Macaca mulatta: one gene and its partners. The protein of the gene in region 2 purifies or fractionates together with the protein of the main gene of each other region. This does not show direct contact. Links are inferred from orthologs where the notes say so. Each region holds a gene or a part of one and is shown on either strand. Other genes may lie near its edges.

Evidence for each region.
Region 1: the proteins of FASLG (region 2) and SNX9 purify together in Homo sapiens (co-immunoprecipitation; 3 studies listed by BioGRID and IntAct, with this or other methods). This does not show direct contact. The link is inferred for Macaca mulatta from reciprocal best matches to the Homo sapiens genes FASLG and SNX9.
Region 3: the proteins of FASLG (region 2) and SNX33 purify together in Homo sapiens (co-immunoprecipitation; 3 studies listed by BioGRID and IntAct, counting the BioPlex papers as one, with this or other methods). This does not show direct contact. The link is inferred for Macaca mulatta from reciprocal best matches to the Homo sapiens genes FASLG and SNX33.

The regions. Positions count from the first base shown.
Region 1 is NC_133409.1:76,687,642-76,697,181, reverse strand, and holds the start of SNX9 (sorting nexin-9), read right to left. Parts: upstream 6,380-9,540; 5' UTR 6,168-6,379; coding exon 6,156-6,167; intron 1-6,155. UniProt on the Homo sapiens protein: Involved in endocytosis and intracellular vesicle trafficking, both during interphase and at the end of mitosis. Required for efficient progress through mitosis and cytokinesis. Required for normal formation of the cleavage furrow at the end of mitosis.
Region 2 is NC_133406.1:30,153,981-30,163,624, reverse strand, and holds the start of FASLG (tumor necrosis factor ligand superfamily member 6), read right to left. Parts: upstream 6,191-9,644; 5' UTR 6,149-6,190; coding exon 5,804-6,148; intron 5,253-5,803; coding exon 5,207-5,252; intron 1,042-5,206; coding exon 985-1,041; intron 1-984. UniProt on the Homo sapiens protein: Cytokine that binds to TNFRSF6/FAS, a receptor that transduces the apoptotic signal into cells. Involved in cytotoxic T-cell-mediated apoptosis, natural killer cell-mediated apoptosis and in T-cell development.
Region 3 is NC_133412.1:53,686,876-53,696,731, reverse strand, and holds the start of SNX33 (sorting nexin-33), read right to left. Parts: upstream 5,182-9,856; 5' UTR 5,092-5,181; coding exon 3,621-5,091; intron 1-3,620. UniProt on the Homo sapiens protein: Plays a role in the reorganization of the cytoskeleton, endocytosis and cellular vesicle trafficking via its interactions with membranes, WASL, DNM1 and DNM2. Acts both during interphase and at the end of mitotic cell divisions.

The DNA of each region.
Region 1 (9,540 bases), on a different chromosome or scaffold from region 2:
ATCATATTCGGGGAGATGATTGCAGTTACATAACCTTATGTCATTTTGTAATTCAGGAAAAGGCTAATGATATTAAGTAGTTTCAGACTTTAACTTAATGTTACCATGCTTATGATAACCACTGGAAAAAAGAGATGTATAACACAAACCTTCCACAAAGTTGGGAGTGGGCTCCTACAATCTATAAGATGGTAGACAGAAATCCAAATACATCAGTAAACACAATGCTGTACAGGCAGGCACCAAGATCAGACTGGATAAAAAGGTAAAATTCAGCTATTGGCTTTTATATATTTGGGAAATATTTACCAAAAGCTGGTGAATGTTAATCACATTAACATTAGAAATATAGTCTTTAAGAAAAAATGCATTACCAGAGATAAAGAGGTTCACTTCATAATGATAAAAACTTCAGTTCACCTAGAAAATAATACTAATTCTAAATGTAGAGAAAATTTTTAAATTCACCATTTTAATATCTCCATCAAGTAGACAGAGGATCAGTTAAATACAACAGATCAATTAGCGAAACACAATTAGTAAGGATATAGATATGAACAGCACAATAAGTCTAATGGACATACAGCATACAGAATAGACACACACATCAATAATATATATACTCTTTTTGTCCACAGGTGAAACATAAAAGCTGACTATATGCTGGGTATAAAGTTAGCCTCAACAAATTTCCAGGTACAGTACTGATTTTAATCAGGCTCCCTGATCACAATGCAATCAAGTTAGAAATCACCAACAAGAAAGAGAAAAACCCAATACATTTGGAAATTAAACACGCCTCTGAAAACCCATAGGTTAAAGACAACTCTTCAAAGTCTCAGAAATATGAAGCTTGTTCCAAGTGCCTTAAAACATGAGGCAATTTCTCATGTAATCATTAGTAAAATTGATTATGTTTTAAAAAATATTATTGCCAATACCTAAGGTGCAGATGTAAATTTTGTGTTGTACCTGTATACACTTTTAACAAACACACAAAAACACATAATTAAAAGAACAAAAGCTTACAGTTAGGGATTAATATTTTCTACTTCAATAATCGAGTCACTTATCTCACTAGAATATTTTTGCTCTTTAAACTGGTCATTGAAGATACGAAAGTGAGCACACACACAGTCTCAGCTTCTTGAGGCTGACAGCATTCAATGGAGACAGCCATCAATTATAGAAACAAATATAAAATGGCAGTCGGGTGTGTAATGTGACCCTGAAACAGGGGCGGGGACATCAGGAAAGGCTTCCCCAGGGAAGTGATGCTTAGACACATTAAGACCTAATATGTGACCGGGCACAGTGTCTCACACCTGTAATCCCAATACTTTGCAAGGCTGAGGAGGAAGGATCACCTCAGCTCAGGATACATGGTGAAACCCCATCTCTACAAAAAATACAAAAAGTAGCTGGGCATGGTGGCGCACACCTGTTGTCCCAGCTACTTGGGAGACTGAGGTGGAAGGATCACTTGAGCCAGAGAAGTCGAGACTGCAGTGAGCCGTGTTAGTGCCACTGCACTCCAGTCTGGATGGCAAAGGGAGACTTCATAATAATAATAATAATAATAATGATAATAATAATAATAATAATAACTTAACATCTAGGCTGGGCGCGGTGGCTCACGCCTGTAATCCCAGCACTTTGGGAGGCCGAGGTGGGCGGATCACAAGGTCAGGAGATCACGACCTGGTGAAACCCCGTCTCTACTAAAAAATAGAAAAAAATTAGCCGGGCGCAGTGGCGGGCGCCTGTAGTCCCAGCTACTCGGGAGGCTGAGGCAGGAGAATGGCGTGAACCCGGGAGGCGGAGCTTGCAGTGAGCCGAGATTGCGCCACTGCACTCCAGCCTGGGCGACAGAGCGAGACTCCGTCTCAAAAAAATAAATAAATAAATAAATAAAATAACTTAACATCTAAAAACAAAGTACCTAGGGAAGGACAAGGGAGAACAGCATTCCAGAAAAGAAACAGCAGTACTGCAAAGTTACAAAGTTTTAAGTAAGCAATTAAAGTAAAACTATAATTTAATTTTTAGATGGTCAATACAAAAACAAGGCACAGTAGAAAACTGCAACATTTTTATGATTTCTAATATATTCCTTCTTTAATGAGACTTGTTCATCTTTCTACCGTCACAGAACTTTTCTTTGACTGTACAAATACTGCACACTCCACTTAAGACACACAGAAAATACTACTGCTATACAAACTTAAATGGTTAGCATTTTCCAAACATTTAAAAAACCATAAAAATCAACTTTAATCCTTAAGACCCGTTAGAAAGATATTTCTATTCTAGTCTTCAAATAAAGAGGTTTCTGCTCTGGAGATGCCACAAAGTGTGCCTTCTAGATTGTTCTCACTAACCTATACACGGAATAAACAGCAATTCATTTATTCCCTACCATTATTTTTAACATTCCATACCCACTTAATTTAACCAGACAAGCTATGTAACATGTGTATAACTAAGTATTGGAACTGAGGAGTTAAAAAAAAAAAAAAAAAGCAACAAGAACTCCTAGAATCTTGTTATAATTAGTCTAAAGGTGACTATGTAAGCACAAAAGGATCCAAATTAGTGACTGAAGGTTAACTTTGACATGGAAATTACAGCTAAATTATATAGATATGGATTAACCTCCACTAACAATTTTCTTCATGTCCCCTTTGACAGACATTGAAAAAAAATTCATTTCTTTCCTAGGACTTGATCTTTTAAATAAAACATGATGACTGACAATATATTTATTGTATATTTTGTATTTATTCTATATATTGTATATCGTATATATAATATTTATCAATATAACGTATAATATAAACAGGTTATATTTTGGCTAGGTCAAAATATAACCTTTGGAGGCTTCCAATAAAGATCAAGACTAAAATGCTCTGCAGGTTTTGTATTAATATTTGTAAAACAAGACTTGATTGCACTGAGTGAGTGCATACACTTAAACTGAATGCAGCATTCTACTGAGTAAGGATTAGAAATAGAAAACAGATAATCCCTTTAAAATGTGCAGTTACTGATTAACTTTCTTTTTTTTTTTTTTTTTTTTTTTGGAGACAGAGTCTCACTCTGTCACCCAGGCTAGAGTGCAGTGGCGCGATCTTGGCTCACTGCAAGCTCTGCCTCCCGGGTTCACACCATTCTCCTGCCCCAGCCTCCCGAGTAGCTAGAACTACAGGTGACCGCCACCACGCCCAGCTATTTTTTTTTTTTTTTTGTACTTTTAGTAGAGACGGAGTTTCACTGTGTTAGCCAGGATTGTCTCGACCTCCTGACCTCGTGATCCGCCTGCCTCGGTTTCCCAAAGTGCTGGGATTACAGGTGTGAGCCACCGCACCTGGCCCTGATTAACTTTCCTTAGCAGTGAAGGACTGTTCAACTAAACTACTTCTTCTAAATGATAATTTCCTTTTCTATTGTAAAATATACTAGTGCAGTTTTTTAAAATGCCAATAGTTCAGTGATAACCACATCCTTAAGAAAATACTTAAGAACAAACAAGAAAATTGTATCTGAAGATACTATAGCCAAGTTTCTGGTAAATTCAAAGGGAAATGAACATCCCCTAAAATATCCAGATCCTGAATTTACTTTTCATCACTTAATACTTACAGCAACAGCCTGAGTGCCACTGGAGCCATTTATTAAAAATTAGTCATTACTACTAAGCACATTCTCCCCACCCCTTGAAGAAGACGAAGAAAAAAAACAGAACTACTCAGGTGTGGGGAAGGGGTGTGTATATGGGGCAAGTGAGGAAAGTAGCAACTTGTCTCTCTGGGGACAATTAAAAAATGAGACTTTGGTTTGACCCAAGTATCACCAGGATGTCAGAAAACTAAGGAAGGGTCTTCTTCTAACAACTGCTTCATTGCTCTTCTTTTTCTTAAAATGGAAATGGTCTGTCACAATGTAGACATGGAAATGAGCACCATGTGGAACAGTGATTAGACAGCGAAAGAAACTAACAGAATTACTGGAATTTGCCTTCGGAGTGGTGTAGATAACGAAGTAGGAAGTGCTTATGCATGTTTTAAGGCTCGTGTTTAAGCAAAGACACATGCAATTCAAGATTAATATACAAGAACCACTTTTCAATTTTTTGAAAAAAAAAATTAAGTTCAGGCTTAACTATGAAATAAAAATTTCACTACGTATACCTGCACTAGTTGCTAAACTGCATTCCACTTAAAGGACAGTACAGGTAACATGCCTCAGTAGACCAGAGTGTAAAAACACACAGACCACCACTGGACAGATCTCTATGTCATACACCGCCTTGGTTTTTTTTTTTTTTTTCAAACGGAGTCTCCTCGCTCTGTAGCCCAGGCCGGAGTGCAGCGACGCCATCTTGGCTCACTGCAACCTCCGCCTCCCGGGTTCAAGCGATTCTCCTGCCTCGGCCTCCCGGAGCAGCTGGGGCTACAGGCGCGCGCCACCACGCCCAGCTAATTTTTGTATTTTTAGTAGAGACGGAGTTTCACCATATTGGCCAGGCTGTATGGAGCTCCGACCTCAGGTGAACCGCCCACCGCGGCCTCCCAAAGTGCTGGAATTACAGGTGGGAGTGAGCCGCCGCGCCCAGCCTATAAACCGCTGTTAAGGTTGCAAGATGAGCGTGTACTAGGATGTGTAACTGGTAATTTCTGGAGTGTCTGGCAACAAACCTCAAAATCAAATTTCCTTAGAAATCCTTGGCCTAAGTTTTATTTTTAAAAAGGTCAACACAAAATTAATAAGTTCAAAAGGTGGCAAGTTCTATCACATTAATAAAACCAAAGCACAGCACAGGCAATAATATATTAACAAGAAGGTAATTATTTCAGTAACAGCAGCAACAGGTTCCCTGGAGGAGAATCCCCACTTCTCTATAAACGCTGCACCTAGATGGATTCAGAGCACAAAATTTACCACAGGACATCTAGCAGACCGAAGTCAAGCAACGCTGATCTTTTAAACAGATTTCACATTTCTTACCATTTCCTACCTTAACACTCCACCAAAAAAAGCAAATAGCTATCGAAATATAAAAAATAACGTTTCTAGCAACCCAAAAGTAGTCAGAGATCTCAAAAAAAAAAAAAAAAAATAGGGAAAGGGGTGCTGATGCTAATAAAGTGACACTACAAAAACTAAGTGCAAAAGTAAACCTACTCCTCACAGCGTATCACAGAACAGTTAATGGTTCAGGTACAGAGCCTCCTCCCCCAGGTCCTCCTTCCGCGACCATGACTCCCCAGTGACTATTTTACACCAAGTAACTACTGAAAACGCCCAAGGAAAAGGAGTGGGGGAGGGTGGCTTTTGAAGATTCAGGTAGCAAAGAGTGACTGCTAATTTCATAAACAATAATGCAAAACAAGCAAACCACCGCTCCTAGCCAATTACCAAGCAGGAGTCAAAGTTCCACCACGTAATTCGGGCCTGGGCCTTTTTTAGGCAAACACGTAATCGAAAGCACAGTCATTTCCCTCTTGATATTTTATTCATGCCGGCAATACCATTCACACTGAGCAGGTAGCAAAACAAAAGAAAAAAATAACAGCAGAGAAGGCAGAGGGGCGCGGGGTGTCCCAGCCTCTGTCTCTCCCCGGCCGCGAGCTCCCGCAGGCCGGGACGGGAAGCGCAGCGTCCTCTCTGCTGAGGTCTCGACCCCCACCCGCCCCACGGGGCCGAGGGTCCCCTGGGCGGCAGCGGGAGGGGACGTGGGGGCGGCGGGGACGCCAGACGCCGCGGGGACACCGGACGCCACAGAGAGCCTGTCGCCTCGGGGGCCTCCCCGGGCTGCGGGAAGTTTCCGTCCCGCTCTCGCGGCCCCTCCCGGCGAGCCCGCCGCAGCCCAAGCTCAGGTGCAAACTTCCCAAACGTCGCTGCACCCGGGGTCCCAACCCGCGCCCAGACCCGACGCCCTCCCCCGGCGCGATCCCGGCCGTCTGCACGGTCCGCCGCACCCATGCCCAGAAGGGACTGGCTGGGCCGCGGACCCGCCCGGGGACCCCACCGAGGACGCAGAGTGGCCCCTCGGCCGCCCCCGGCCCCAACCCTCCCCGCGGCCCCAGCCCCGACCGTCCCCGCGCCGCCGCGGGCCTGAGCGACCGGCCGGGCCTGCGCTGCGCGCCCCTCACCTTGGTGGCCATGGCGGGCGGGTCCCCCGGCCCGGGACGGCCGGCTTGTCTCCCGCGCCGCGGATGGTGATTCTGAGCCGCGCGGACGAAGGCAAGGGCGAGGGCGGCGGCTCCGGCTGGGCCCCGGCGCGGCGGCCGCTCCTCCGCCTCGGCCCCGAGTCTCGACGCTCAGGCCCAGCCGCTGGGCGCTCGGCTACTCCCGCGCCGCCCGCTCCTGCAGTTCCTGAAAGTCCCCGGCTGCGCGGCCCCCGCCCCTGCCGGCCGAGCCTCCCTTTTACCGCGGCGCGCGCGGCGCCCGGCGGAAGCGCGCCCTGGGCCCTCGGCCGCGGCCCGGCCTCCTCGCCTCCTGGCCGCCCCCGCGCTGCGCCGCGCCGCGCCGCCGCCCCGGGCAGTCGCTGCCGCCGCCGCCGGGCGCCCTGGGTCGAGGACGGGGGCTGCGTCCCGCGCGGCGGCGGGATCCGGACAGGCGCCCCGGGCCATGGCCCGCACCCTGCGTGGCCGCCCCACAGGAAGCGCTCCGCGGCCCGCACAGCCGCTCGGGGGAGCCGAACCCGACTCCGGTTCACGCTCGGCCAGCGCCGCACGCCGTGGCTCGGGGCTTTCCGTGCATGAGGCGGGCGGGGGGGCAGGAACTCTCGACGCTCCCGGCAGACAGGAGCCCCGCAACCCCGCTGTCTTTGCCCCACGCCGAGGGTGTTGCGGGGTCGCCGTGCCCTTGGCCGAGTACTTTGAGTGCCACGTAAACAGCCGGGAAGGAACGGAGCAATGGCTTCCTGGGCCTCTTTCTCCTGCCCGGAGGCTCCCTCAGGCTGGGGTCCTGGCTTGGAGCCCCTGGGACGGGACGGTGGGGGGTTCGTTTTGTGACGTCCCATTAACCTCATTCTGGAATCTTGATAAGTTTAAAAATGCCCGAGGGCCCAAGAGGTTTAGGGGACAACAGGCTCTCTGAAGTGGAAATGAGGGCTCTAAAATTTTCCATCTTTCTGTCAGTGTTTCTCTCCAGAGTTGGAGATATATATATGGGTGTTATGAATAAACGAATGACTTGAATTGAGCAGCAAGATTTTTCGCTCAAGGACAAAACACAACTGGAAGATGTATCATAATTGGCATATTAGTGGAGTGCTTTTTTATTATGAGGGATATATTTGTAAGAAGAGACAACTATCAAATCTTCAATACTCTGGTATTTAGAGTTAATGTCAAGTTTGTGTCTCCTTAAATACATTCTATTTGACCTGAGGTTTCACTAGTTACATTCAATAATGTGGTTTAAAATAGATACGGTATCGCAGAATTTTCTGTGAATTTTTGTGTTTGTTGAGCTCATGGTTAAGCTATAGTCGTCATAATATGCATAAATAGTTGTCTTTCTCCATAAAAAAAGATGGAGGCCAATATTCATTGACAGCCTGCTTGCTATATACTGGGCTTTTACATCCCCATCTCATTTAATCCTTATAAGAAACGTTTGAGAAGCTCATTATTGTCCACTGTTTACAAAGAAGAGCGAATCAGGGCTCACTTAAATAACTTGCGCTTTTGGTAATACTTACTCAAATCGAAAATGACCACAGCCTTGGACCCAGCAGCCCTCCTAGGAGTTTATCCTGTCAAACTTGTACAAGTGATCAAAGATGTTCATCAAAGATTGTTCGGTCCTAACTCCAACCAGAAAACAACCTATGTGTTTGTTAACAGGACTCTTTCAGTAAATAAGATACATCCATTCAAACAAAATACTACAAAGCCCGTAAGAAAATAATATTTTAAGAGGTGTTAAGAAAGATAAAAGAACATGATGTATGGTACATTTATGTTAAAAAAAAAAAAAAAGGAAATGTGTTATACATGCCTAGAAAACTTCTGAGAAAGTTTCGCCAAATCCTGTTGTCAGAGTTTTTGACCATGTGTATGTATGACTTCCTTTAAAAACAGAAGTTATGTTTTAATAAACAATGGAAGAAATAACTTGGCTAAGAGTACACACTAGTATGTGGAAAAACCAGGATTTGAACTCAGTCAATGTCATAAGTAATGAGTTTTCCATATTCTTTTAAATGTGAAGCCTGGGTACAGCTCTCTCTGCAGCCCTTCAACCATGCCTCCCTTGATAGGAAGGCACAAAGTTAGGGGCACACCTGTGAAGACACGCCTTTCCACACGCTCATCTGGCAAATTCTATGCAAATAGTCATCCTGGGCACCCGGCACCATGAAAGCAAGAAGACCAGAGACTTCAAGCTTTTCCCACCTGAACAATTCCGTAACACTGGTTTTATTTTTTAGAAGTAATGGTGGAGGGCTGAGATGGAAAGATTGCTTGAGCCTAGGTGTTCAACACCAGCCTGAGCAACATAGTGAGACATCATTTCTAGAAGGTTTGTTGTTGTTTTAAAAAGAGCAAGACTATCAAAAACAAACAAAAAAGTACATAAAAAGAGATAAACGTGGCTGGGCGCTATGGCTCACGCCTGTAATCCCAGCATTTTGGAAGGCTGAGTTGGGTGGGTCACGGGGTCAAGAGATCAAGACCATTCTGGCCAACATGGTGAAACCCCTTCTCTACTAAAAATACAGAATTAGCTGGGCATGGTGGCGCGCCTGTAGTCCCAGCTACTCAGGAGGCTGAGGCAGGAGAATCACTTGAACCTGGGAGGCAGAGGTTGCAATGAGCCGAGATTGAGCCACTGCACTCCAGTGTGGGCAAGACTCTGTCTCACAAAAAAAAAAAAAAAAAAAGAGAGATAAACATGCCTTTCCACAATAAGCCACACTGCAGGGATCTCGTACATAACTAAACTCTATCACATTTTTAGTAATGAATCGGGTAGTATATCTCCAGTAAATACTGCCAAACTTAGGAGTTTTATTTTTATATACGTCAGTCAAAATCAACATTACTTCATGAATGTTGTTATAGAGGAGACCTACTTTCATGGAATATATTTATATATAGAAAGAGAGAGTGGGTCTTGCTCTGTCACCCAGGCTGGAGTGCAGTGGCCCGATCTTGGCTCACTGCAGCCTCTGCCTCCCGAGTTCAAATGATTCTCCTGCCTCACCCTCCCCAGTAGCTGGGATTACGGGCACCTGCCAGCATGCCTGGCTATTTTTTTTTTTTTTTTTTTTGTATTTTTAGCAGAGATGGAGTTTCGCTCTATACTGGCCAGGCTGGTCTCAAACTCCTTATCCCAAGTGATCCGCCTGCCTCAGCCTCCCAAAGTGCTGGAATTACAGGCGTGAGCCACTGCACCCAGCCATGGCGTTTGTCTTCTGTTCCCACTTGATCACCCATGCACATCTCTCTTCTGTCCACCTCCTTCCTTTGAGCGAGCTTCCTCAGAGCTGATGCTCTATGCAGGCCTGCCTTGAGAACCCAGAAC
Region 2 (9,644 bases):
GCTCTCTGGAGCACAAAGATTTTATTATCTTCAGAACTAGCACCCAAACTGCTAGGCTTTGAAGTCCTTTCCTGAAGAAAAAAGCCAAATCCAAGGAACTCTAAAATTCTAAAGTTGGGAAGGATCTTAGGGACCATCTGGTCCATCATCTCACCTGCAGTAAGAATTATTCAGCCCCTCAGTTTGGGGTACAGTTTCCTTTTCTTTGTATCCCCACAACGTCATGAACATAACCTAAATCTCTGCAGTACTGAAATTATCATAAATGCCTGTCTTTCCCTATTAGATGTCAAGCTCCCTGAGGGCAAGAGCCATATGCTACTCATTTTCACATCCCCAAATTGGTGCACATCAGGTATTGAGTAAGTGTCTGCTGATGTGACCGGATCATTCTACAATTTCTGCCTAAATAATTCCAGGGACAATAGCCTACCACTTTCTGTGATATTTATTCCATTATTTATGATTTATTTTTTTGGGAGTTTATAATGGGAGTGCCCATACCATATCATTTCACTCCACTTTACAGGCACATATTGAAAGTCTACAAGTGCCAGGAGTGAGTCTCCCTTCTTGCTCCTGTTTATACTCTTGGACAAAGCAGAGTGAAGCTCTTCCAAAAAACCAAGAAAGCGCTGACTAAAACAAGTCCTCATTCCTCACCTTCTCAGCTCTCACCTCTTGGATCTGTGCCCCCAATCACCTAAGGGACTTTGGAATGACTGAAAAGAATGAGCTCCTTATGGGCACGGGTCATGTCATAATCAGCTCCAGGTCTCCAATTTAGAAGGCCTTGCCCAGAGAATAGGGGATCGAAGTGTGTTTATAAGACTGACTCGACAAGGAAAATGTTAGTATGATTGAGTTCAAATACTGTCACCAGGAAGTAACAACTCTCTAGCACCTGGTAATGGAAACCAGGCAGCCATTTTGCCTTTTGCCAAAAGCTTTCCCAAACCCCACCCGTACCTTCCAGATACAGACCTGTTAAATGGGCCACTTTCCTCTGCTCCTTTTTCTCAGGGGGTGGACTGGGGTGACCTGTATCATAGAGAGAGGAAAAATATATGTTAAAATGAAATACCAACTATTATTTTGGTGGGAATTTAAATCCCATCATTTAAAAAAAAAAGATTTTAAAACCATAAATGGCAACAGTCTAACATATACTAATCATGTAAGTCTGAACTGCGGGATTCACCGTGGTCTATATTTCAGAAACAAAGAGGTAAAAAATAAACCAAATTAAGATTGACACATGCATAAATTATAATGTTACAATAAAATATAATTAATATAAACGTTTATTCATAATGAGCTGTCATGTCAGTTATTGCATTTAGAACTCACCACAACCCTTTGAGGTATGTATTGTCCCACCCCTTATCAATTGCAACATGAGCTTAGAAGTTGGGTGACTAATCCAACTAGTCAGCATCAGAGATGGGACCACACCCTGGTCTCCTGACTCCAATTCCAGGGCTCTGTCCACTCTGATTCTCTTGTCCCTAAGACTTACAGGAAAGAGACTGAAGAAGACCACTAATCTATCTGCGTGTCACCAGATCTTCCCCCAGGGACATTTTACAATCTTCCCCAAATTAAGTATCTTAAGTCCTCAGACAATTACCTCATATCACTGAGGCCTCAAACACCTTTAATGGCTCCTTCCTGAAGATGCAGTTGTATACAAGTCTCCCCATCACACAAGCCCAGCCCATCTGTCCAGCCTTATCTCCTTACTCCCACTGAGCACTGCCACACAACGGGAGTTCTGTGGCCTACACGTACCCCCACTTCCCTTCCTCTGTGCCTTTGTTCATGCCATGCCTTTTGCCCATAATGTTCTTTCAAACAGATTTCTGTGTCAAATTCCTAAACATCCCATAAGGACTATACCTCTTTCTTTGGGAAACCCTCTCAAACCTTTTTTGATCAAATATGATCTTCCCCTCTTTTGAAATCTAGGATCATTCTGTCTTCCCCTCTCTTGTCATTTCTGACTCCTCTTCTCTGGGGTAACTACATAAATTATCTTATTCCGCTCAAATAATGACAAGTTCCTTACGATATGTTGAATTCACCAGAGAAGCCCAGTTCCTAACACAGGGCATGTTACTAGCAAATGTCAGATAAATTAAATGGAAGAATAGACAGTAGTTCTCAAAACAGACACTATTTCTCTGACTTCAACTATTTCAGACAAGATAGACAGCTGCCACTTAGCTAACGCATTCAGCTAACTGAGACCTCAATAAATATTCACACGAGATGCTTGAATACGTCAGGTTCGTGATTAGCCTGTAAAACTCACGTATGGTGTGAGAATGGCCCAATTCACAGAGAACATTACCTGAGCGATCATGATCTCTCTGGTCACCCAAGACAACCCACCATGAAGGAGGTGTTAGTGAACAGGAAAGGCAAAACTGAGTCTCTTCTGCATTCCTACACCGCAAACCACCCGCGCGACTCATCTGGCATTCAGCCATGCACCGGCAGGAAACAGAACCGAGAACCACATGTTGCATATCTTTTTATCCCTCACAGAGCCTAGTACAACATTATTTTTACAGAACATGCTCACTAAGAATATCTGCTGTACATATGCTGGAATAAATAAACTGCAGAGATACCTTAGACACTGGTGATGAGTGCTTCCTGCCCCAGGGTTTTTGCATGTGCCGTTCCCAGTGTTGAAATGCTCTCCCCCAGCCCCACCCCACTCCACAGCACATGCACACAGCCCTTCGCTCATCAGGCTTCTGACCCCCCAGGTGTCAGCATAAACACCTCCTTAAAAAGGATTCTCAGCTTATACTTAGTACAACTTTGGAATTGTATGGTCTGTTTGCTTGCTTTTGTTTAGCTTCTTCACCATGCTAAAAGCTCTATAAGGACAGGTCCCCTGGGCTGGCTCATCCTCGATCAGCGTCCAACACCCAACATCTAGCCTCACGCATGTGAATGAATAAAAGATTTAATTAGCTAACTGGAAAAAAATGGAAAATGTAAAAAGGAACAAGTTAGAAAGTATAAATAATCTATAGTAGTATCTCCCAGAGAAAATCACTGTTAGTATGTCAGTGTGTAGAACCTTCTAGTTCCTAAGAATATAAAAACGTGCATACATGGTTACATAGTCAGTATGAAACGAAATATATCCTTTTGTAACTTGTCTTTTTATCTAACAATACACACTGCACAATCCCCAAGGCATTAAATGTCCTTCTGATACATCATTTTTAGTTGCTGCTTATTATGTGCTTGTTTCAATACACCATAATGTATATAACTAATCTAGTATGAGGCATTCAAGTTTCTTCTGGATTGTTTATTATAAATAGGCTCATAAGGGAGTAATGAACATCCTTATATATAAATCTTCAGGCACATCTCTGATTATTTTCTTAAGAGAAATTCTTAGTGATAGGATTACAACATAAACTATTAGTTTCAAGCTTTTGATATGTATTTCTAAAGTGCTCTTCAGAAAAAGTTATAGCAATTTACATGTATACTGGCTGAAACTAATGTTTAAACAGCACTTTTCTTTCAAATCTTTGTCAGTCTGGGTTTTTGTTAACTTTACTAATTTGATGAAAATTGGTGTTCCCTATTTTTAGTTTGCATCTCTTTTCTTATTAGTAAAGTTACTGATTTGATTTCCTTGTGATAATTTAACAATTTCTGGTTCATCTGGGTTGATCTAGAGAAGATAATTGCTTACTGGGGTAGATGGACATGACTCGTCTGGTCATTTGATTTTTAATCACTAAATTGACTCCAGAGAGGAGGTAAAAGATGAATGCTTAGGTACCTATCAGACCAGGCACATTCCACAGGTTTTCAAAATGATCTTATTTGAGACATCCTCCAGAGGCTTTATTTTTCTAGCAAATATTTCCACTCTGCTTGTGTACATATGGACTTTCTAACATTTAAGGATTAGGACACAGACTCAGGGGCCAGAGCTTCCCAACAGTGGCTCCTATAAGAACTTAACAGTCTAGGACAGTAGACAGGCGACTGGGTTGCCTGCAGTAGCCACATCCAGAGAAACTGAAACTTACTTCACTTAATAGATGGCCAGTGCTGCCTTCTTCTTTATTCTGAGTTTCTAAGGATGCGATCTATCTATAGTCTTTGCAGAGGTATCCTGCTTTTCCTCTATTTCTCACTCCATGCTCACTACAGAGAGACAGGAGTTTCCCTACTTCATGAGGCACCAGTCCAGTACCGGAAAGCCCTGTAGGTGACAAGGCATCAAGAGCCTGTGTTCCTTCTAGCCCCAGTTCCATACTAGGGGTCTTGGGCATATTCACCTAATCCGTCTGGCATTTTGTTTCTCTTCCAAAAAAATGAAATGGCTGGACTGGATATTCTAAGCTTCCTTCCAACTCTAAACCTTCAGTGAATCTCATTGTAAATCTAAATCTAAAATTTCAATGAATCTTAGGCTAGTGAAGCACATTGTAAAATCCATCTGTACAGAGCTTGCAAAACTATGCCCTGAAATTTCACGAGATCAGTGTTCCAACATATCGTCTTCTTGCCCTAGCTCCCATACAAAGGATTTTCCTTTGTGATCAAGGGTACCTCATGACTGCCTCTGAAGCTGAACATCCTTTGAATGATGGCTGAAGTCTTCCCTTCAGCTTCTCAGTGACTTCAAGAAAAACCATTCTAATGTACGGAATTGATTAGCCACATTTTAAAAGCTTACGTCCTATAAAACATTTTGTAAATAAAGTTTCACTGTAATCTCTTTAGAGGCTTTAAAAGAGGAGAGGACGTTTCTCAGAAACATCTGTCTCTGCCTTCACTTCGCCTTCTCTTCCCAGAAGTCATAGCCACTGGCATGTGTGCCAGGACCAGGGTGTCTGTGGAAGGGGACAGGCCTGGAACCACTGCTCAGGGGGCAAAAGTCCACGGTTGTATATGTGTGTCTCTTTCCAAAGTCAAGCGGAAGTGATTTTGAATTGTGTGCCGTGCTCAGCTATATTGATTGTGAGCAATTCAATTCACTTCACATTTATAAAGCAGCTCAAGGAATCATACTGACCAGAGATTCCGAATTAGCCAGGATTCCTCTCATAGTATACATAAGCCAAAGTGTAGGACAGAATATAAGGCATTCCATTAACATATTTCAGTGCTGAGGATCATCTTTAGGAACTCAATGTACATGTGAAAAAGGACTCACCTATTTGCTTCTCCAAAGATGATGCTGTATGCTTCTGGCTGGTAGACTAGTAAAAGAGAAAGAAAAAAGATGCATAATAAAAATAAAATTATTTAAGCAAAAGAGACAGAATCGTCAAATAAACCAAGCCCTGGAAAGAGAATCCAAATACCTCAGAACTTTTGCTGACTCAGGCTTTGGTCAAGCAATTTTGCTTCACTGTCCCTCAGTTTTGTGATTTGAAATCGTACCAGTATTTTAAGTATTTTCAAGATTTAGTTTGGTCATCTGAACAAATTTACTTCCAAGCAAAACTTAAAAGTTTTGTTTGTTTTTTACTCCTTAAATCACTAGGTATGAGGCAGTAAGTGGTTCAACAGACTGAGTTGACAACTGAGGAAAGAAAAACTGTTGGGCTCTGATTCTTTACAAAATAAAAAATATTCCCTTCACTCCTATGAGCCTCCATTTCTCTGCCTATAGAATAGAATAACTAGAACAACCCATTTCTAAGAAAAAAAAAAAAGGATTGAAAAGCACTTTGCAAGCCAGGCAGTGGGCCCTCCACCCCCTTATGCCTGGTGCCTCCAGGGCACAGCAGTCTGCCAGCAGGCTTACCTCTCGGAGTTCTGCCAGCTCTTTCTGTAAGTGGAAGAGCTGAAACATCCCCAGTCCCAATCCTACCAAGGCAACCAGAACCATGAAAAACATCACAAGGAGACAAAGGCCTGTGCTGTGGTTTCCCCTCTTCTTCAAGGGTGGCAGCGGTAGTGGAGGCAGTGGTGGTGGCGGTGGAGGTGGTAGTGGCGGCGGCGGCGGCGGTGGTGGTGGCCTCCTTTGACCAGGCCTTCTGGGCACAGAGGTTGGACAGGGAAGAACTGTGCCTGGAGGGGCCCAGGGAGAGCTGGCACTGCTGTCCACCCAGTAGATCTGGGGATATGGGTAATTGAAGGGCTGCTGCATGGCAGCCGGTGAGTCAGGCCAGCCCCAGCAAACGGTTTTACTTCTCAATCCTGTAGAGGCTGAGGTGTCAAGGACAGGACTCCTGTTGCTGACTGCTCAAGAGGAGGCAAGCTGGATCTCTCTTATAGAGTTTCCATAGCTAAGGGAAACACCTCTGTCTTTCTCTTTCTCTATGTCTCTCTCTGATTCTGCTTCTCAAAGAAACACCCACTCACTTTGCAGCTGAAGCTGAGAAGCCTCAAGAAGCTCAGAGCAAACCCCTGGAAGTTTCCGCCCACAATCTTCTGACGAAAGCCTTGGAAGCCTCAGTTGCTATCGCTGTACTACCCAAACAGGTTGGTAGGCTATGCTCACCTTCCTGGGATCCTGTAGAGCAGGTCAGCATTGGGGTAGAGCCCTGTTGGCGTGAACTGCTCCCAGCTACAGGAGAATGGCCAGTGGGGCTATAATTTTATGAATTATAATTGTATCCTTTTTTATACATTACAATTGTATAATGTTAAGAATTCTACCATGTATACGACCAAAAAACTATTTAAAAATACCAAAATAACTCTAACAAAAATTGTTCAGAACCATATTTTTTAAACTATAAAAATTTTACTGAAATTGGCTCTGAGGGGAGAGACCATGGAGCCATGGCCAGAGAAGTCACTCCCACATTTTCGTTTTTGCAGGAGGAAAACACCTGTTGCCATCATCGCTTCCCCACACACAACTACCATTTACCCTGACCTGCCAATCACCATAATTTACAGGTTAAAAAACCTGCTACACCCTCTTTAGAAATTAGATCAGAGGCTGCAAACAGTGGAACCCACAGAACTGCTTTGTATTTCACAATGTTTTCATTTTCATTGTTTGCCCAGCTTATTTATTTACGTATTTATTTAAATAGAGACAGAGTCTCACTCTGTCACCCAAGCTGGAGTGGAGTGGTGCTATCGTAGTTAACTGCAGCCTCAAACTCCTGGGCTCAAGCAATCCTCTTGCCTCGGCCTCCTAAGTAGCTGGGATTATAGGCATGAGTCACTACACCTGACTTATTTATTTATTTATTTATTTATTTTTGTAGAGATGGGGACTCGCTATGTTGCCCAGGCTTGTCTCAAACTCCTAGCTTCAAGACATCCTCCCACCTCAGTTTCCCAAAGTGCTGGAATTACAGTCATGAGCCACTGCACTCAGCCCAATTGACCACTTTTAATATCAATATTAAAAATATTTTAATATATATACATTTTAAATACACATTAAAATACATATTTTTGTTCTGTTTTGCAATATCAGAATATCAGACACCCTCGAGGCCATCTCTGCAAACCCAATCAGTGGGAAGTAGGTAGCAGCTGCTCCTGAGAATGAGCGACAGGTGTTCTGGGTCACCCAGCCTCCGCCAGCGGCCTGTGTCTCACACATCACCTCACCATCTGAAAGGCCTGCCTGGTCCTTGCCGATATTTCTGTGTCCTGTCCCTGTTATGGTTGCCAGATTAAATACATGGTGCCCAGTTAAATTTGAATTTCAGATAAATAATACATAATTTTTAGGACGAGTATGTCTTAAACACGTCCAAACATGGAATACACTAAACAATTATTCATCATATAACTGACATTCAAATTTAACTCTGTGTCCTATTTCTTTGTTTTTCTGTTGTTGTTTAAAGTTGGCCTCTCTACTTGGGCTCACCTCACCCTTTCCTTTGGCCTCACATACCATTTTTATGCCAATAACTTCCAAGTAGTTAGCTTCAGTCTTAATCATTCCCCAATAGAAGCCAAATAAATCCCCCATAAATCCAAATTTTTCATTTCTTTCATGTTTATTACCTTTCAAATTTCATTAGTTTTTATATCATGTTTTGGGATTTCCGTGACTGTCATTCAGGCCCACTCACCTGTACCAAACCAATACCAAGGATACTCTTTCCCTGATATATTCTGCCCATCCCACCCCATCCCCATCCCCGTACAATCTGTTTCTCCTGAGGCCACTCTTTCTGGCGGCAACTTCATCTCCTTTCTTTTCCTCTCCCCCAATGTTTAACTGGTCACCCAGGACTGTTGCTTTTACCTGAGACCTGTTCCTTACCCTCCCCTCGGTTTACTGCTCCCCTCCCCCATCCTTACCACTCCCATTTTTCTTACTGCTATTGCCTGGGCTCAGACTTTTTATCTCTCACCTGAAATACTGCAATAATGACCTAACAGGTGCCCTGCCACTGACCTTTCCCAAGCCCAAATCACTCAGTAAAATGCTACAAGAAAGATGTTTTTAAAAAACAAACCTAATGATCTCACTTCCCTTCCTTGTGTTGGAAGGTTTGATTCCAAGAATAATGCAAGCTCCTTACCATTACCCAAGGCTCTTTAGCATCAGCTCCCACTGCCTCCTTATCAGGCACTCCTGCTCACATCCCACTCTCCACTCTTAAACAGTGCAAGGGATGAGACTTAACTCACATGTGGCTTTATTCATCATTATGAATTCAACTAACTTTAAACGTCGTAATAATCAGAAATTGTAATTTTAAGAATTCTATCATATATGCAACAAAAATACTATTTGAAAATCCCAAAATAACTGTAACAAAAATTGTGCAGAGCCATATTTTGTTTTTTATTTTTTTGAGACTGAGTGTCACTCTGTCCCCAGGCTGGCGTGCAGTGGCGTGATCTTGGCTCACTACAACATCCGCCTCCCAGGTTCAAGTGATTCTCCTGCCTCAGTCTCCCGAGTAGCTGGGACTACAAGCACATGCCACCACACCCAGCTAATTTTTGTATTTTTAGTAGAGATGGGGTTTCACCATGTTGGCCAGGATGGTCTCGATCTCTTGACCTCATGATCTGCCCACCTCAGCCTCCCAAAGTGCTGGGATTACAGGCATGAGCCACTGCACCTGGCCCACATTTTTTAAATTATAAAAATTCTACTGAAAATGGCAAAGATTCAAATAAGTGGGAAAATACACCATATCCTGGATGGGGAGGTGCTGTTGCATGATGTTTGGGGGTGAGTGGTTCTGGAGTTAAACTATGTGGCTTCCAATCCCAGCTCTTCTGCTCATTAGGACAGGTCAGCTTCCCTCCTCGATGCCACAGTTTTCTCATCTATAAAAATAAGCACGACCGTAATAGTACCTGCTTTATGGGGGTCGGGAGGAGTAAATGAGTCAAAGCATTTGATACACTTAGAATAGTCCCTAGCACCAAGGTAGGCACTCAACAGATGTTGTAAATTTAGTGAATCTTTCCCCAAATAATTTATCTATAAACATAATATAATTGACCTTCTTCCATTAAGGACAAAGTGGAGAGAGGGAAAGAGGTTGCGGGGGAAAGTGCAAAGTCAATGTTTGACACCCAGTATCTCTCTGAAATCCTGCCCTGAACTGATGGGCCCCTCCATTTCAGACTACTACCTCCCGACTTTTCTATCTCAAACTCCCCACAGAAACTTCCAGCACTGTCCAATAAGAATTATGCTGTAT
Region 3 (9,856 bases), on a different chromosome or scaffold from region 2:
CTTTTTTTTTTTTTTTTTTTTTGAGATGGAGTCTTGTTCTGTTGCCCATGCTAGAGTTCAGTGGCTTGATCTCGGCTCACTGCAACCTCCGCTTCCCAGGTTCAAGTGATTCTCCTGCCTCAGCCTCCCAAGTAGCTGGGATTACAGGTGCCCGCCACCATGCCTGGCTATTTTTTTATATTTTTAGTAGAGACAGGGTTTCACTATGTTAGCCAGGCTGGTCTCGAACTCCTGTGATCCGCCCACTTTGGCCTCCCAGAGTGCTGAGATTACAGGCATGAGCCACGGAGCCCAGTGCAAACTGCTTTTCTATGCATGAGCTCACAGCAAGTACCTTCAGGTGGTAGCTCACAGCAGAGTATTATTCTCTTTGTTTACGCCTAGGGGGGTGAGGTAGAGGGAGGGCTAGATAATGGCTTAGAACCCAGAGGCTGAACCCATCTGTCCCCAAAGCAAGAACTTGTCCCTACAATGGCCACTTTGCTTTGACCACGCTGTCCCTGTGGCCCCTCTATGGATGCTCTGTGGTCCTGGGCCTATCTCTAGCCCATGGGACCAGTGAAGGAGCACCCAAGCCTTCCTCCCTCCTCTTTCCCCTTCTGGCTCAGCTCTCCATCCCTGGGGATCCCCTCCCCTGTCTGGAGGGCACAGTAGAAACACAGTAGAAATCCTGGGCTGCGGAGTCAGACACATTGGGCGCCAGCTCCTGCTCTGAGGCTCATCTGCATTGCTGCACCTCGTCTGTAAAACGGAGGTGACCACATTGCCCTCCTGACCTGTCATGAGCCTTAGGACCAGCCCTGCTCTTGCTGGCTCTTAAGTTGGGGGGCCATAGGTCCCGGCTTGCCCCGGACAGTCCTGGACACTTTCCCCTTGTTGTCCTGGGATCACTATTGCTAGGGCCCCCTTTTATGCCCCAAACTGCCTATGGTTACCCTTCTCTTAGGAGACCCCTGGATTGGGCTACAGGGACTAGGCCCGTGGGAAGACCAGGCTCCTTTCAGCTCCAGCCAGGGTTTATGTCCCATTTTATTTCATTTTATTTTTATTTTTGAAAAGCATACAAATTTGTTTAATGTAAGTTTCACATGACATGGAGCCCTCCTAAGGAAATGAAGACCCTCAGGTCCCATTTTGTTCACCTAGAGACTGAGGGGAGAAATCTCTCCCAAAGTCATGTCAGATGCAAAGTTTGTCCAAATCCTGGTCTCCTGACTCCCACCTAGGCCTCCACTGTCCTTCCTCCCACACACTCACCACCCATTCAGATGTCCAGACAAGCTGAACAGAATCCTTGGGGCCCAGGACCCAACTGTTCTTCTCCTTTCTGTGAGAAGGGCTCCACCCCTAGGGCCAGCATAGGACCCCCTCCTTATCACCCCCATTGGGCTGTGGTCCCCAAAGCCTGTCCAGTTCTGTCTCAGTACCCGCTCCCTAACTTGCCCCACACCACAGGCCTGGGAGGAGCAGTGCGGAGCCCAGAACTTAGAGTAAGCCAGAGGGGGCTTAGCCCATTGGTAGGGTTCATCCCGGGAAGGGAAGGAGGTGGGCTGGCCTCTGCTTCAGGTCAAATGCATCAGCACAGAGGACAGTGGCCCCTGACTCTTAGAAACACCTCAAGTCGAAACTCAGAAATGGCCTCTCTCAGTTCGGTCTCTCTGCCCAGGGTCAGAAAGGCCAATCCGGCTTCCCCCTCAGCCTGGGAGGCCCTGGTGTCCTTCCTGGGTGTGGGGCTGCCCTAATGCCCTCACCTCTGTTCTGGGTGGGGGTCCCCAGCCACTACATGGGAGCATCTGTTTAATCATTGCGCTCCCCCTCCTGCTGCCTGCGCAGGAACAAGCCATCTAAGGAGCTGGTTGAACCAGCCTTCCCACTTCTGCTCAGGGAGACACCTGCCCCAGTGGGCCCCCAGCAGGCCTGGCCATCTCCCCTGCCCTATTCCTGCCCCAGAGCTCAGAGTCAGAGCTAAGGTGTCATTCTGCTTCTGAACCAGACCCTCCCCAAGAGTCCCTTCCCACCCACTCCCTCGAAGACCTGACCTTCCCTTGTTTTACAGACCAGGAAACTAAGACCCAGAGAGACAAAGGCACTCCCCAGGGATGCACAGCAATCTAGGGGCAGAGCCAAGACTAGCACTCAGGTTTGTGTTTCGTGGAGTTCAGAGGAGGAAGAAGAAAGGTAGAGATGAGAAAAAAGAAAAAAAAACAGGAAGAGGAAGAGGATATAGTGAGGGGAGAAAGGAGGCTGGGAGCTAGAGAAGTTATAGAAGTCAACCTCTTGGTAAAGGAAAGTAAGGCCAGCTTACCCCAGGTCCTCCCTGGTGGTGGTGGGTGACATGTTTCCTGTTCCCCAGGCTCAGTCCAGAGGTCTGCCTCCTGGCCCCACCCAGAGTCAAACTCCCCACCAAGCCAGGCCTGACCTCAGGGCCCAAGGGCCAGGGAGCCAGCTCCACGCCCTGCATACGAGTTACCCAGCAGCCCCAGGGAGGATCACACCTCTCTCCTGACATCTGCCCTCCTAGCTGTCCCCAGGACTCAGGTACCTGCTGGGGCAGTCACTGGCTGTCTCCTCAGGCAAGAAGAGAAGCCAGGCTTGGGAAGCAGGAGTTGGATAGGCCATGTGGGCAGTGCCCTGGACCCCTGATTCCGCAGCCTGGTCCAGCCAGGGTGCCCCTGTGTGACCCAGGATGAGTCATTTCCCCGGCAGTTCCTTGACAGCCCCAGCAGTAACAGGCAGAGGCCCATCCTGTCCCTCCCCCACGGAGGGGGTCATGACAACTGAAAACACGGCTAGGCTTGGGAAGCGGCCAACATGGACGTGTCCTTGGGGAGGTAGCAGGAGGAAAGGACAGTCCCAGCCGGGCCACAGGCTGTGCAACCACTCTTCTGTGGACACTAACTCCTTCATCCGCAAAATGGGGACAGGGATCTTCCTGCACACAGACAAGACGCTCATAGAGAGAATACACAGTGGTGAGAGTAACTTGCAAAGCTGCAAAGGTGGGGAGGTGAACTTGCAAGGGGCAGAAGACAGGCCCCCACTCTGAGCTCTTGTTATCTGGGTTGGGTCTCTGTCTCCCAAGGGCCTACCGGCTCCTCCAGGGCAAGGCCTGGGGCCCGGTCATCTGTGTGTTCTCAGAACCCAGCATGACACCATGCATGATGGGTAAATGAGATCCAGAGAAAATGAATGAATTGACAAGAAGGTAAATATCAAGCTCCATGAGGACAGAGACCAGGCCTGTGCACAACAATATTCCTGTACCTAGAAGCACATTTGCACAGATACAGAGTTGATACTCAACATGTTTGTTTGTTTGTTTGTTTGTTTTAGAGACAGGGTCTCACTCTGTCACCCAGGCTGGAGTGAAGTGGCACAATCGGGCTCACTGTAGTCTCAACCTCCTGGGTCCAAGTGATTGATCTTCCTACTTCAACCTCCCAAAGTGCTGAGATTACAAGCATGAGCCACCATGCCCAGTCCAACACATTTGTTAAATGAATGATTGAGACAGAGAAATAAAGATAAGTTGCTCCATTCTATCCAGGCCATCCCCATCTCCCCAGGGCCCAGCAGAGAGTCAGACTCAGGATGGGTTTCCTGCCTGCACTGGGTCTTACCTTTCTGTAGGTGGATGATGTCAGGGAAGTTAGAGAGCAGGCCCTGGTAGAGAGACAGTGTGTCCAGCATCTGGAAGAGGTCATTCTTGGGCTGCTCAGCAAACATCTCCCCGATGGCTTCATAGGTACGGCCCGTGTGAGAAATGGCACTGTTGAGGGCCTCAGAGCAAAAAGGGGGGTCCATCTGGAAGGAATGACTGATGGCCTGGAAGGCACTGCCCAGCTTCTGGAATTCCTTGCGGAAGCCCCCCACGTGTTTACGCACCAGCTCTGACGCCACGGTGCTGAGCTGCAGGACACTGTCGTCCATCTTCTTACTGAAGGCCTTGAAAGTGTCCACGCGATCTTCCACGTCCTGCAGGTCCTGGTGCTCGGTGGGGATCTGGAAGGTGAGCAGGAAGCTGGCACCCACCATCTCATCCTTCTCCGCCCGGCGTTTGCCCATCTTCCACTGCTTGTCATCTAGGCAGCTAAGGAAATGCTGGAAGCCTTCGTACTGGGAGAGCACAGGGTGGCTGGTCATGTGGTCCATCCAGAGGATGAGTCTCCGCTTCCGCTTTTCAATGAAGTCCTCCTCGAAGCGGCCTGTGGCCTGCTTCTCAGGCAGGTGGGGCACTGAGATGACAGTGAACTTGTGTAGCAGGCGGTTATAGAGCCAGTCAAAGTGTTTGTAGCGCCGGTAGACAGGTGAGGCAGCATGGGTGGGTGTGAGCTTGTAGGAGATGTAGCTTTTGATGCCCTTGAACTTGGTCTGTTTTGTGGGGTCCTCCACAGAGCAGGCAAATGGGTGGGGGTTGGCCTTCCACTGGGGGCCACGAGGGCCCATTTCAATGGAGTATGTCTCAGCGATCTTGGCCATCATGGGCACATCACCTAGGATGAAGGCCTCCACTCCAGAACGCACAAAGCATGAGAAACGGTTGAGGTTACGGCCCACCACACTGCCTCGCTTGGCAGATGCCAGGCTGTCCTGCCGCTCCAGTGGTGGCTTGGGCCGGAAGGCCATGTGCTGGCTGGGGTAGGCACCAGGGTAGGAGAGGTTGAGGGGAGGGTGCCCATTGGTGCCCAGCCCACCAGCCCGTGGCTCCTCCACCACTGTGCATCCATCGTCCCAGTCATCCCAATCATCATCATCATCCTCCTCGAAGCTACCCTGGTTTGAGAGGAAGCCACTGCCCCCACCACTCCTAGCTGGGTTGGCCACACTGGGGCTATTGTACAAGCTCACGTGGGCCCCCGGAGAGCCTGCAGGGCTGCTGGAGTAGTCAGCATGGTTGGTGCTGATGCCAGAACGGACGATCTCCACGTAAGAGGCAGGAAAGAGCCCTGTCTCCCCACGGCTGTTCTGGCCCTGCAGCCAGCCATCCAGTGAGATCTCGCTGAAGATGACCAGGTCCTCATCCTGCTGGATGCTGATTTCCTCCTTGTTCTCACTGTGAAAGTCATAGAGGGCTCGGCCTTTCAGTGCCATGGTTGGGCTGGGTGGTACAGACAGATGGGAAGGAGAGGGTCCTGTCCAGACCCGGGATGCTCACAAGGAAGTCCAAGAATGCACTCGCAGCTGAATGGCGCTTACACAGTTCAATCTCTCAGGTCCTAAGGTGGGGTCTCAGCACCCACAGATGCTGTCCAATCTCCTGCTCTTCAAAGCAATGTCCACGGCCCAGAAACTGCCCTATCAGGTCTCCGGGCATATGCTTGTGAGCAGGGAGGGCTCATGTCCATAGCCTCCTCCCTTAGCAGCCCCTGGGGGATTAGAGGGGAGTCTCTCCTAACTCCTACTCCCAGAAGAAAAGTCAAGTGACCTGGAGAAATCTGCCCTGGAGGGGAAAAATTCGACACTTTCCACTGGAACAACGTTCTAAAATAGAAGAGACTCACTCGGAAACCACCATTCCAGAAACCCAGGCAGGGCTCGGCTGTCCCTCTGGCTCCCAGATTCTTTTGGCCACTCTCGCTTTGGGAGGCTCTCACATTCCTCTGCAGATCTGCCCCTTCCTCCTTCCTCCTCCTCTTGCTCCTGGGCCACTGGGTTTTCAAATATCCGGAAAATCCAAGAGGGGCAAGGAGAAAAGCAGCAGCCTCCTGAATCGAGTCCAAGGGTGGATGTGTCCGGCTTCACAACGAGCCAGGCCGGGAAAACAAGGACTGAGGCTTACACAACAGGCCGCCAACTCTTCGACCCCGGCTGCGCAGCCGGAGCCCCCGCCGGCTCGGGCGCCCTCTCCCCGCCCCAGAAGTGGCCAGTCCCAACCCCGGAGGAAGGAGGGGGCGCGACGAGGCGGTCGGGCGACTTCTGGCCAGTCGCTGAGTGGTCTCTTTTGTTTGCCTAATTCCTCAGCAGTTTCTGAGACTGACGCTGACCCTGCTCTGAATCCCAGGAACCCCGTCCAAAGGTAACCCCAGCAGAAACCAGTTCCTCACCCGGGACTTACGACCCCCGACCCCCACCCTCGCGTGCACGCACACACTCAACAGTTTGGAGTTTGGAGAGTGAGCTCCGGCGAGCAGATGGCGCGGCTGGCCGTCTGTCCGTCCGTCCTCCGCTCCGCCCTGCGGGGCCCGGCCAGTGGGGGGCGGGCTGCGCCCCCAGCCTGCCTTCCCCTGCGCTCGCAGACCCTCCGCGCCGCCAGCGAGAAGGCAGCTCCAAAACAAAAACGCGATTCCGGGAGGTGGCGTCCCGAGGAAGGAGGGGATCGCCAAAGGGGAGGTGAGGGGTGGGGAGAGGGAGGAGGGAGGGGGAAGCAGGCTGGAGAATCGGGCAAACTCCGCTGCACTTCCGTGCGTCCCGGCGGGGCAGGGACGGCCAGCTCCGCCCTCCCGCGGGCCCGGGGCGCTGCAGCCGAGCCCCCGCCTACTCCTCCGCGCGGCTTCCCATCTGGCCAGTGCCCTCGCTCAGTCCCGGGCAAGAGGGAGGAAACGACCCGGGAACGAGGGAGCCCGAGAGCCTCCGGGGCTGGTCTCTGGGACCGCCACCTCCTCTGCTCTCCCTCCGTCTGTCTGCCCTCGCCGGGAGACACCTCACGCCCCCGTGGTTGGAGCGCCCGGCGGTGGAGCTTGCCAGCCACTGCTGCCTCGCTTCCTGGACTCCGTCATCCTCCTGCCTTTTCCGTGACGCAAATGGAGTAAAACTCCCAAAGTTTGCAAAGCGTGGGGCTGCAAGGAGCACCGCGCCAGAGCCAGGATGGGGAAATCGGGCCGGGCGGGGAGAGGTGCGTGAAAAGCCGTGCCAGCTGGGGTTGGGGAGCAGAGTCGCGGGCTCGCCTTCCCACCTTCCCATTCCCCACTCCTGCTCCGCAGGGACGGGGTCGTGGCGCAGCTCGGAGATTGTTTTCCGGAGGGGTAGAAACGGCCTGCGCGTTCCGGGCGTCTGACCTAAGATACCGACAGCTGAGGGTGCAGCACCCTAGCCAGATAGGGCGACCCTGCCCTGGGCGACTAGCTTGGAAGGAGGGAAAGACACTACCCTACATCTGCAGCGACAGGGAACAAGTCTAGGTGCCACCCGGTTCCGTGTTGCTTAGTGCGGCAGCGGGACTGGATGTTCTGTACTAGCCAGGGGCAGCAAGGAGAGAGGTGGTCAGGTAGAGAGTCTTGAGGCAAGTGGGATCTGATCCTCGGTCAGCATATCGGGAACACTTTGGGCACTGAATCTGCTAGGCACTGTGCTGGGCACTGGGGAGTACACCACAAGTCAGTCGGGGTTCCTATCCTGGGGGGCTTACAGTCCATCCTCTCTTGTCTTTAATCAATCCATTCTCAGTCATTCATTCAGCCAAGTCATGCACTCAAGAAACATTAACTGAGTATCTACTCTGCACCAGGCCCCTGAGCTACAAAGACAATTAAGACATTATCCTTATTTTCCAAAAGCTCAGATGTGTTGTGACAAGTAGACAAATGCTCCCTGCCCAGTGTGACTAGTCAGTGCCATGAAAAGTGCACATGAGGATACCTACTCCAGCCTGGGTGGAGCAAGGATCAAGGAAACCTTCCTGAAGGAAGAGGTGCCTAAGATGAGGCAAAGGCTTCAGGAGGATCCCCTTTCCTGGCTGTACCCTGGAGTCTTGTCTACCCTGTCCAGCTAGATCTTCCCTTCATTCTCTCTCTAGTCACTTATTGCAGATTAACTGGTACAAGGTAGTTCTGCTAAAGATGGATACCTTTGGCTGTTTTGAGGGACATGGTTCCCAGACCTCTGGCCCCAAAACCCAGTTTCACTGGTTGAGTGAGTGCATCCGACTAGCTTTGCAGGTCTGGCATTTGACCAGAATAAAGGCCTGTGTACAAACCCCAGAAGGCTAGGTATTAATTTGCACAGCGAAATAAAACTGTCAAGCAGAACTGAATTTCTGCATCAATAGATCAAGGCAGTTTGGGCTACCCCTTTGGAAGCCCAGTTACCAGAAAGTTAGCTCAGTGAGTCCGGAACCTCCAAGAGGGGAAAAGGTATGACGAGTCTCTTAGTCAAGTAACCTTAAAACCTTGTTTCCTGTCATGGGGCAGCCTTGATTCTAAAGACACAGTTCCTCCTAGCATCTCTAAGACTGAATATACGTTTTCCCCACATGCTTTTAGGACCCCTCTTCCCTGTGATCTATCTTCTGTCCACATAGCCTTTCTCTAAACTGAGTTTAACAATAGCATCAGGGCCGGGTGCAGTGGCTCACACCTGTAATCCCAACACTTTGGGAGGCCAAGGCAGGTGGATCACTTGAGCTCAGGAGTTTGAGACCATCCTGGGCAACATGGTGAAACCCCGTCTCTACTAAAAATACAAAAATTAGCTGGGCGTGGTGGCGTGTGCCTGTAGTCCCAGCTACTCAGGAGGCTGAGGCAGGAGAATCGCTTGAACCCGGGAGGCCAAGGTTGCAGTGAGCCGAGATTGCACCCGCCACTGCACTGCAGCCTAGCGACAGAACAAGACTCCATCTCAAATTTTTTTTTTACTCCACTTTCCCCACCAGCTATTGCCCCATTCCTCTGCTCACCTTTGCAGCAAAATTCCTTGAAATAACTCTCTCTCCTAAGTGCGTCCAATTTCTTTTCTCCTGTTCTCTCTTTAAATCCCTCTAGCCAATCTTTTACTCCCACACTCCACTGAACTATTCTTGTCAAGGTCATCAATATCCTTGGTGTTGCTGGACCCTAATGGTATTATTCTCAGTCCTTCTCTTATTTAACCTTTTGGTAGCATTTGTTTTTTTGTTTTTTTGTTTTTTTTTGAGACGGAGTCTCGCTCTGTCGCCGGGGCTGGAGCGCAGTGGCCGGATCTCAGCTCACTGCAAGCTCCGCCTCCCGGGTTTACGCCATTCTCCTGCCTCAGCCTCCTGTGTAGCTGGGACTACAGGCGCCCGCCACCTCGCCCGGCTAGTTTTTTTTGTATTTTTTTAGTAGAGACGGGGTTTCACCTTGTTCGCCAGGATGGTCTCGATCTCCTGACCTCGTGATCCGCCCGTCTCGGCCTCCCAAAGTGCTGGGATTACAGGCTTGAGCCACCGCGCCCGGCCACCTTTTGGTAGCATTTGACCTGGTTGATCACTCCTTCCTCCTGGATACACTTTCTTCATTTGCATTGGAGAGAACATACTCTCCTGATATTCCTTCTACCTCACTGGTTCATCCTCTTCTCTCCAATAATTCTTTTTTTTTTTTTTTTTTGAGACGGAGTCTCGCTCTGTCGCCCAGGCTGGAGTGCAGTGGCCGGATCTCAGCTCACTGCAAGCTCCGCCTCCCGGGTTTATGCCATTCTCCTGCCTCAGCCTCCCGAGTAGCTGGGACTACAGGCACCCGCCACCTCGCCCGGCTAGTTTTTTGTATTTTTTGGTAGAGACGGGGGTTTCACCGTGTTAGCCAGGATGGTCTCGATCTCCTGACCTCGTGATCCACCCGTCTCGGCCTCCCAAAGTGCTGGGATTACAGGCTTGAGCCACCGCGCCCGGCTTTTTTTTCTTTTTTGAGACAGAGTCTTGCTCTGTCGCCCAAGCTGGAGTACAGTGGTGTGATCTCGGCTCACTGCAAGCTCTGCCGCCCGGGTTCATGCCATTCTCCTGCCTCAGCCTCCCGAGTAGCTGGGATTATAGGTGCCTGCCACCATGCCCGGCTAATTTTTTGTACTTTTAGTAGAGACGGGGTTTTGCCATGTTAACCAGGCTGGTCTCGATCTCCTGACCTCGTGATCCGCCCACCTCAACCTCCCAAAGTGCTGGGATTACAGGCGTGAGCCACGGTGCCCA